Ovis aries: one gene and its partner. Each later gene encodes a partner of the first gene's protein in a complex. Links are inferred from orthologs where the notes say so. Each region holds a gene or a part of one and is shown on either strand. Other genes may lie near its edges. The genes, in order: SYNRG and AFTPH.

Region 1 (3,821 bases):
TCAAGTAATAATTTCGATTTTCAAGTCTTAGTCTTTAGGAAATATATTTTAAGGGGCTATAGCTGCCGCAGATGGTAATTCCTCTGGTAGACCTGGGGGAAGTAAATTGCAAACCTCCTGGAAAGGATTCACCATTCTAGATGTCATTAAGAACATCTAGGATTCATAGGAAGAGGTCACAATATCAACAAGAGGAATTTGGAAGAAGTTGATTCCAACCCTCATGGTTGACTTTGAGGGGTTCAAGACTTCAGTGGAGGAAGTAACCATAGACACGATGGGAATAGCAAGGGAATTAGAAGTGGAAGTAGACCCTTAAGATGTGACTAATTTGCTACAATCTCATGATAAATCTTTAACAATGAGCAAAGAAACTGGTTTCTTGGGGTGGAATCCACTCCTGGTGATGACTGTTAAAATGACAGCAAAGAACTTAGAATATTACATAAACTTAGCTGATAAAGCAGCGCAGATTTCAAGAAGATTGACACCAATTCTTAAAAAAAGTTCTCCTGTGGGTAAAATGCTATCAAACAGCATTGCATACTATATAGAGAAATTGTTCATCGATAAAGAGTCCATCGGTAAAACAAACTTCATTGTCTTATTTTAAGAAATGGCCACAGCCACTCCAACCTTCAGCAACTACCACCCTGATCTGCCAGCAGCCATCAACATCAAGGCAAGAGCCTCCACCAGTAGCAAGATTATGACTTGCTAAAGACTCAGATAGATGATGGCTAGCCTTTTTTAATCAATATTTTTAATTTAAGTTTTTCTCAGACATTTTGCACACTTAATGGACTACAGTAATAAGGTAAACATAACTTTCCTATGAACTGGGAAACCAAAATATTCATGCAACTCGCTTCATTGAGCTATAAGCTTTACTGCAGTGGTCTGGAATCAAAACTTCAATGTCTCCCAGTGAAGTGAAAGTCGCTCAGTTGTGTCCAGTTCTTTGTAACCCCATGGACTTTACAATCTGTGGAATTCTCCAGGCCAGAATACTGGAGTGGGTAGCCATTCCCTTCTCCAGGGGAATCTTCCCAACCTAAGGATCAAACCCAGGTCTCCCACGTTACAGGTGGATTTTTTTACCAGCTGAGCCACAAGGGAAGCCCAAGATTCCGGGAGTGGGTAACCTGCCCCTTCTCCAGGAGATCTTCCTCACCCAGGAATCAAACTGGAGTCTCCTGCATTGCAGGCCAATTCTTTACTAACTCAGCTATCAGGGAAGCCCCAGTATCTCCCAGATCTGCCTATAATTAAGAAATATTTCACTCCTCTGAATGCCCAAGATTTACAAAGTCTGTGGCTTCATGTTGTCTTTTATACACTTAACAGGACACAGAATGGTTCTTTCCCTGTGGTCTCTGAATTACGGCTGAATTCTTCCAGCAAGGATGAGAGATGCCAAGGTCTCCAAAGACTAAGGATAGCTGCCAGGCATAACCCAACCCCTCCCCCAGCTTGTTCCATTCCTGGAAGAATGCCACGGGGTCTTCAGTGGTACACGCTCAGCCTACATACAGCACCGCGGCTTGTCCTTCCTTCCCCAGGGGAAGATTAGGAATTGCTGCCCACTCTGAGCCAAGTGAGGGGGCTTCTGAGTCAATCTTTCATACTAGGAAGCTACTAGAGGGAAAGATAGGCACCCCATGAGCTGGTGAGCATTTGTTTATGAGGCAGAATTATGCCTGTCTGAGCAGGAAAGAGGAACAAGAGCAGGAGGCAGGAACAAGGAGAGCTCACAGCGCTCAGCGCCTCTCACCCAGAGAGTACACGCAAGTGACCACTGTGCGCCCAGCGCTAGGCGAGGCGCTGGAAACCCAGCCGCAAGCACATCACACCCAAATCTCTCCCTTCTTGGAGGCGGATTTCAGTGGAGACAGACAGATAATAGACACAAATAACAGAAAGTAAAATATTTACGAGGGCTAGGGCTAGGGAGAAAATCAAGCAGGGAGACGGACAGCAAGTGACAGGGTGGGGAGAGGGAACACGGCTTTGAGTGAGAGGGGCGAAAAGACTTCACTTAGAAGGTGACATCTGAGTAAAGGTCTGAAGAAGATTAGGGCGAGACCAGTGCCTGTGGTTCTGGCTACAGGCAAACCCTGAGCAGGACAGGACCACAGAGAAGGACAGGGACTGAGATTTCACGTTAGACTGGGATGTGTGAGAGCTGAAGGTGGCCAGGAAGTTAAGGAATCTGGGAGGTTGGTAAGGAGTAGAAAGGCAGAATTCAACAGAGCATGGTAAGAACCGACTGGGGACCCAATAACTTAATTTTCTTTTTTAAACCAATGATTTAATGTTAATGCCTCATCTAGTTCAGAGTCTTTGATAAACCAGTAACATGTGATTTTACATTGTGTATAACAAGGACTGAGAAACCTGGCCACAGAGACCTTAAGTCAAATAGTTGTTTCTGGGTAGGATTTAAGTGTCTTATCTATAAAAGCAGAAGCTACTTAGTAAAGTCCTATGAGGCTTAGAGAGATCTAGATTAAACTACTTGACATAGGGACAACTGAACAGCCTCCAAAGCGTCATGATTTTGAAGAAGTATAATATGAAAGCACATACCTAATAAGTATTCCATCCCTTGAACTGACTGAATCACTTCTGTGCATACAGAGCTACTACTGATTCCATTTAAGGTATCATTGGCCTTCTTAATGACCTATAAAGAAATGAAATCACATCACCTTACATAATCAGGAAAAGTCATTACAAAGCAGTTTACTATTAGTAGAAAACCCAACGGAAAGCTGGAAGGTGTGAAAATGCATGACTGATTGATGTATGTAGATGACTGTGTTGAAATAAATCTGAGAATTTTGACATTGATGAACCAAGCCTCCGCTTTTTTGGAAGTGGAAAGACAAAGGTTCTCCAGCTTAAATATTATTTTAACTTGGGCAGAGATAACGATACCATTTTGTTACGCATTAAACTCAGTGACAGGAGAGGGCACTCTAAGCCAAGTGAGCGGGGTCTGCCGCAGTCGGTGGGGAAGAAGCCTCACTGAAGACGTGAGACTTTCCACCCAGGTCCTCCCAGTGCAAGGCCATCGAGGCAGAGCTCGCCCCGAGTCCCTCCAAAGCAATCAAGAAGGCGAGATGACGCAAGAGGCATGGGCAGGTGTGTGAACGCAGCCGAGTGAGAGACTCACCTCCAGAGCGCTCCCCAGACACCGCTGCCACTCGTACGCATACCGCTCATTCTCCTGAAAGTCACCGAAAGAGCTGGGTCAGGCGGGCAAGCCGGGGATCCCACCTGGGACTTCCTTCAGTTCAGAGTCCTGAAGACTTACTTTCATGTCTATGAAACTCACTAATCCAAGCGCAGTTGATCTTCTGAACCCACTAATGATGACTTTTATTGATAGCTCCTGATAACTATAACTTCTGAACACATGACTTGTGAATTGGAGGGAAATGGTTTTTAGTGGATTCCCTTCGCAAACGTTGCCTTATTTGTTCCATAAACAGTGGAAGCTTCTTTAAAGGTACGCACCATGTAGGTGTCTAGCACGAGAGCCAGGATCAAACCACAGCTTCCTGCTCCACAGTCAGGAAGCTGTGTGTGCGAGTGAGCGCACGTCTGACAGGACGGGGAGGAGGATGCTAAGAGTGTTGGCTGGAGGGGGCAGCAGCGTGGGACGAACATTAACCGTGAGGGGATCCAGCACATCTGTCCTCTCTCTTTTTTCCTTAAAGACTTTTTTCTTTAATGTGGGCCAATTTTTAAAGTAGCTACAATACTGCTTCTGATTTTTTCTTTCTGTTTTTTAATGTCTTGGTTTTTTGGCCATG
Region 2 (3,821 bases), on another chromosome or scaffold:
TCACTCGCTATGCTTATTTCTGAAACACAAACCTGATCCTTTCTAGCAGTGTCTCCTTTATCATCAAAGCTTCTATCCAAAGAAACTTCTTTTACAGAATTCAGTTCATTGACTCTATTAATTTTATTGTTTTCCTGAATGGTTAGTGCTTCATCATTTAAAACTGCACATCCTATTTCTTCTAGTTGTATCCTTTCTTTTCTGGAAAATGTGGCAAAATCTGCAAATTCCTCAGCGGGACTAGGTGCATAGTCTAAATTATACTCAGTACTATGAGTGCTAACAGGCTTTCGTCCTTTTGAATCAGCTACAGCGTCCAGATCATCTGTTCCCTGAGGATTTACAGTTTCCAACACTGCAAACCCATTTGTTAGAATCTCCAGACAAGGAGGCTTTTCACCATTGCAGCTCTCTAACTGCTTGTTCTGATGAACAACATTCAGATCAGTTCTAAAATCTCCTGGAGAGAAACTTTCAGGTGTTCCAACATTCTGTCTCTGCTCAACTTCTTTATTTAAATCTCGTGGACTTTCTATGCCATCAATGGAAGTATCTAAAGTTTTAGATGAAATTATTTCTTTGCTGGTGGTAGAAAGTAAAACATCAGACTGTCCTTTCACAGGAGAAGAAAGTTCAGCAGTGATGTCCTTATCGTTACTATTTTTAATGGACTTAAAGCTTGTAAGGCTATCTACATTTTCTGAGAAATCATGAATTGGCATAAAATGGTTTGAAGGTACAAACTCTTCCTTGGGACGAGTGTAATCTGGTGTATCAAAATCAACAAACCCTACACCAGAAGGGCTAACTTCAGAAAACCCACCAAATTCCCCAAATTCATCGTCATCATCATCCTCAGCTCCATTGTCTAGTGGTGGTGGGGATGAAGAGTACATTCGAATGATGTCTGGCTCCATCGTTCAATTGCTTTCAAATACTTAATTTACACCTGGGGAAAAAAAAAGATTTTTTTTTAGGGAACAGATTACATATAACAAAGTCATTCAGAATTCTCTCAAAGAAACTTCAAAACAGTGTAAATTTACAGTGCTCTGCTTTTTAAACTATTTTTCTGTAAAGCAATTATCCTTCAATTAAAAATTAAATAAAAAATTTTAAAAACCTAAAAAAACACAATTATTTTTATCTTAGGTAAGATTACACAGCTATAATATAATGGCAAAAGAAACCAAAACAAAACACCTTTTACAGTGTATGTTTCCAAGGGCATTGATAGCACATTACTGAATCTGAGGATTCCAGAAAATTTCAAATAAACACTTACAAAAGTACATCTTTTGTAACAAGCACTTGCTTGTTCTCTTAGACTCTCCTTCTAGTTCACTGGGGACTCAGGACTTGCCTTGTGGATTTGTAGGAGTTCTTTATAAATAAAATGAAAATGCTGTCTTTAATAATGGCTGCATATATTTTCTTCAATTTGCTTTTCAATGTTTCTTTCTGACTCAAGTTAACTTTTTCTGGTTTTATTTTTTCAGAGAAGCTTTAGGTTCACAATAGAATTGAGCAGAAGATATAGAAACTTCCCATACGGATACTACCTGCATTAATTTGCATAGTCTCCTCTGTTATGAACATCTACCGAAGTGCTGTGTTTGTTACTACTGATGAACCTACACTGACACATCATTACCCAAAGTCCATAGTTCTTATTAGGGTTCATTCTTGGTGCTAGCATTCTGAGTTTGGACAACTGCATAAAGACATGCACCCACCATTACAGTATGACACAGGGTAGTTTCACTGTCCCCCAAATCCTGCGTTCCACCTAACTCTATTCATCTGTCCCTCTCCCCTACCCTGGCAAGCACGGATTTTCTTACTGTCTCCATAGTTCTGCTTTTTCTAGAATGTTATGCAATTAGAATTACAGAGTATGCAGCCTGTATATACTGTATGATTGGCTTCTTCCACCTACTAATATGTATTGAAGGTTCTTCCTCCATGTCTTTTCATGGCTTGAAAACTTATTTTCTTAAACTACTGAATGGTATTCCATTACCTGAATATACCATAGTTTAATTTTTTGTAACTTTCCATTTTGAAATTGCTTAGGTTGACAAGAAGCTGTAAACACAGTACAGAGAGTTCTCCTGCATGCTCTCACCCAGTTTCCCTCAGTAAGAACACAGTGAACAAGAATGGCACACGACCAAACCCTGAAACAGACATCCATGTAACCTACTAAATCAGCTACACAGCTTGGTTAGATTTCATCACTTTTCCTTTCTTAGGGTGTCTGCACAGTTTTATGAAACCGATCATACGTGCAGATTAGATTTCATTGTCACTATAATTGGGGTTAGAACTGTTGCAAAAATAGTTCAATAATATCAGTATAAAGTCCTTTGTGCAATCCCTAAATAGTCATGCCCTTCCATAAACCCGAACTGTTGGAAACCACTAATCTATTCTCCATCATTATAATTTTGCTATGTCAAGAGTGTTATCTAAATGGAATTATGTAATATGTAACCCTGTGAAGCTGGCTTTTTCACTCAGCTTAATGCTCTCAAGATCCATCTATGTTATTGTATGTACTCACAGTTCATTCCTTTTTATTGCTAAGTAGTATTCCACTATTTAACTTCTATGCAGAGTACATCATGAGGAATGCTGGGCTGGAAGAAGCACAAGCTGGAATCAAGATTGCTGGGAGAAATATCAATAACCTCAGATATGCAGATGACACCACCCTTATGGCAGAAAGAGAAGAGGAACTCAAAAGCCTCTTGATGAAAGTGAAAGAAGAGAGTGAAAAGCTTGGCTTAAAGCTCAACATTCAGAAAACGAAGATCATGGCATCTGGTCCCATCACTTCATGGGAAATAGATGGGAAAACAGTGGAAACAGTGTCAGACTTTATTTTTTGGGGCTCCAAAATCACTGCAGATGGTGACTGCAGCCATGAAATTAAAAGACGCTTACTCCTTGAAAGGAAAGTTATGACCAAGCTAGATAGCATATTCAAAAGCAGAGACATTACTTTGCCAACAAAGGTCCGTCTAGTCAAGGCTATGGTTTTTCCAGTGGTCATGTATGGATGTGAGAGTTGGACTGTGAAGAAAGCTGAGCGACAAAGAAATGATGCTTTTGAACTGTGGTGTTGGAGAAGACTCTTGAGAGTCCCTTGGACTGCAAGGAGATCCAACCAGTCCACTCTGAAGGAGATGGGCCCTGGGATTTCTTTGGAAGGAATGATGCTAAAGCTGAAACTCTAGTACTCTGGCCACCTCATGTGAAGAGTTGACTCACTGGAAAAGACTGATGCTGGGAGGGATTGGGGGCAGGAGGAGAAGGGGATGACAGAGGATGAGATGGTTGGATGGCATCACTGACTCGATGGACATGAGTCTGAGTGAACTCCGGGAGTTGGTGATGGACAGGAAGGCCTGGCGTGCTGCAATTCATGGGGTCTCAGAGTTGGACGCAACTGAGCAACTGAACTGAACTGATTCCACTATATAGATGTCATCAAGTTTGTTTTTCTGTTTACTCCATGTAAGACATCTAGATTATTTTCAGTATGTTTACAACTACAAGTAAAGCTGCTATGAACATCTGTGTACAGACTGTTATGTGAACATGAGCTCTCACTTCTTTAAGATGAATACTCAGGAGTGCAAAGCCTGGGTCACATGCTAAGTGTGTAATTAATGTTATAAGCCAAACTGTCTTCCCAAGTTAATTTTTAAGGGGTCAAAGTGATTTTCCATTAGTAGTTTTCTTCATTATTTTGCTGTCATAAAGGCTTAAATTTTAAATTTAATAAATATTCACTTTTATTTTCTTCTATTTTA

Evidence for each region.
Region 2: SYNRG (region 1) and AFTPH share a complex: the UniProt entries of both Homo sapiens proteins name them as parts of the aftiphilin/p200/gamma-synergin complex. The link is inferred for Ovis aries from reciprocal best matches to the Homo sapiens genes SYNRG and AFTPH.

What each region holds. Positions count from the first base shown.
Region 1 is NC_056064.1:13,531,692-13,535,512, forward strand, and holds part of SYNRG (synergin gamma), read right to left. Parts: intron 3,233-3,821; coding exon 3,179-3,232; intron 2,687-3,178; coding exon 2,590-2,686; intron 1-2,589. UniProt on the Homo sapiens protein: Plays a role in endocytosis and/or membrane trafficking at the trans-Golgi network (TGN). May act by linking the adapter protein complex AP-1 to other proteins. Component of clathrin-coated vesicles.
Region 2 is NC_056056.1:43,761,557-43,765,377, forward strand, and holds part of AFTPH (aftiphilin), read right to left. Parts: intron 950-3,821; 5' UTR 918-949; coding exon 1-917. UniProt on the Homo sapiens protein: Component of clathrin-coated vesicles.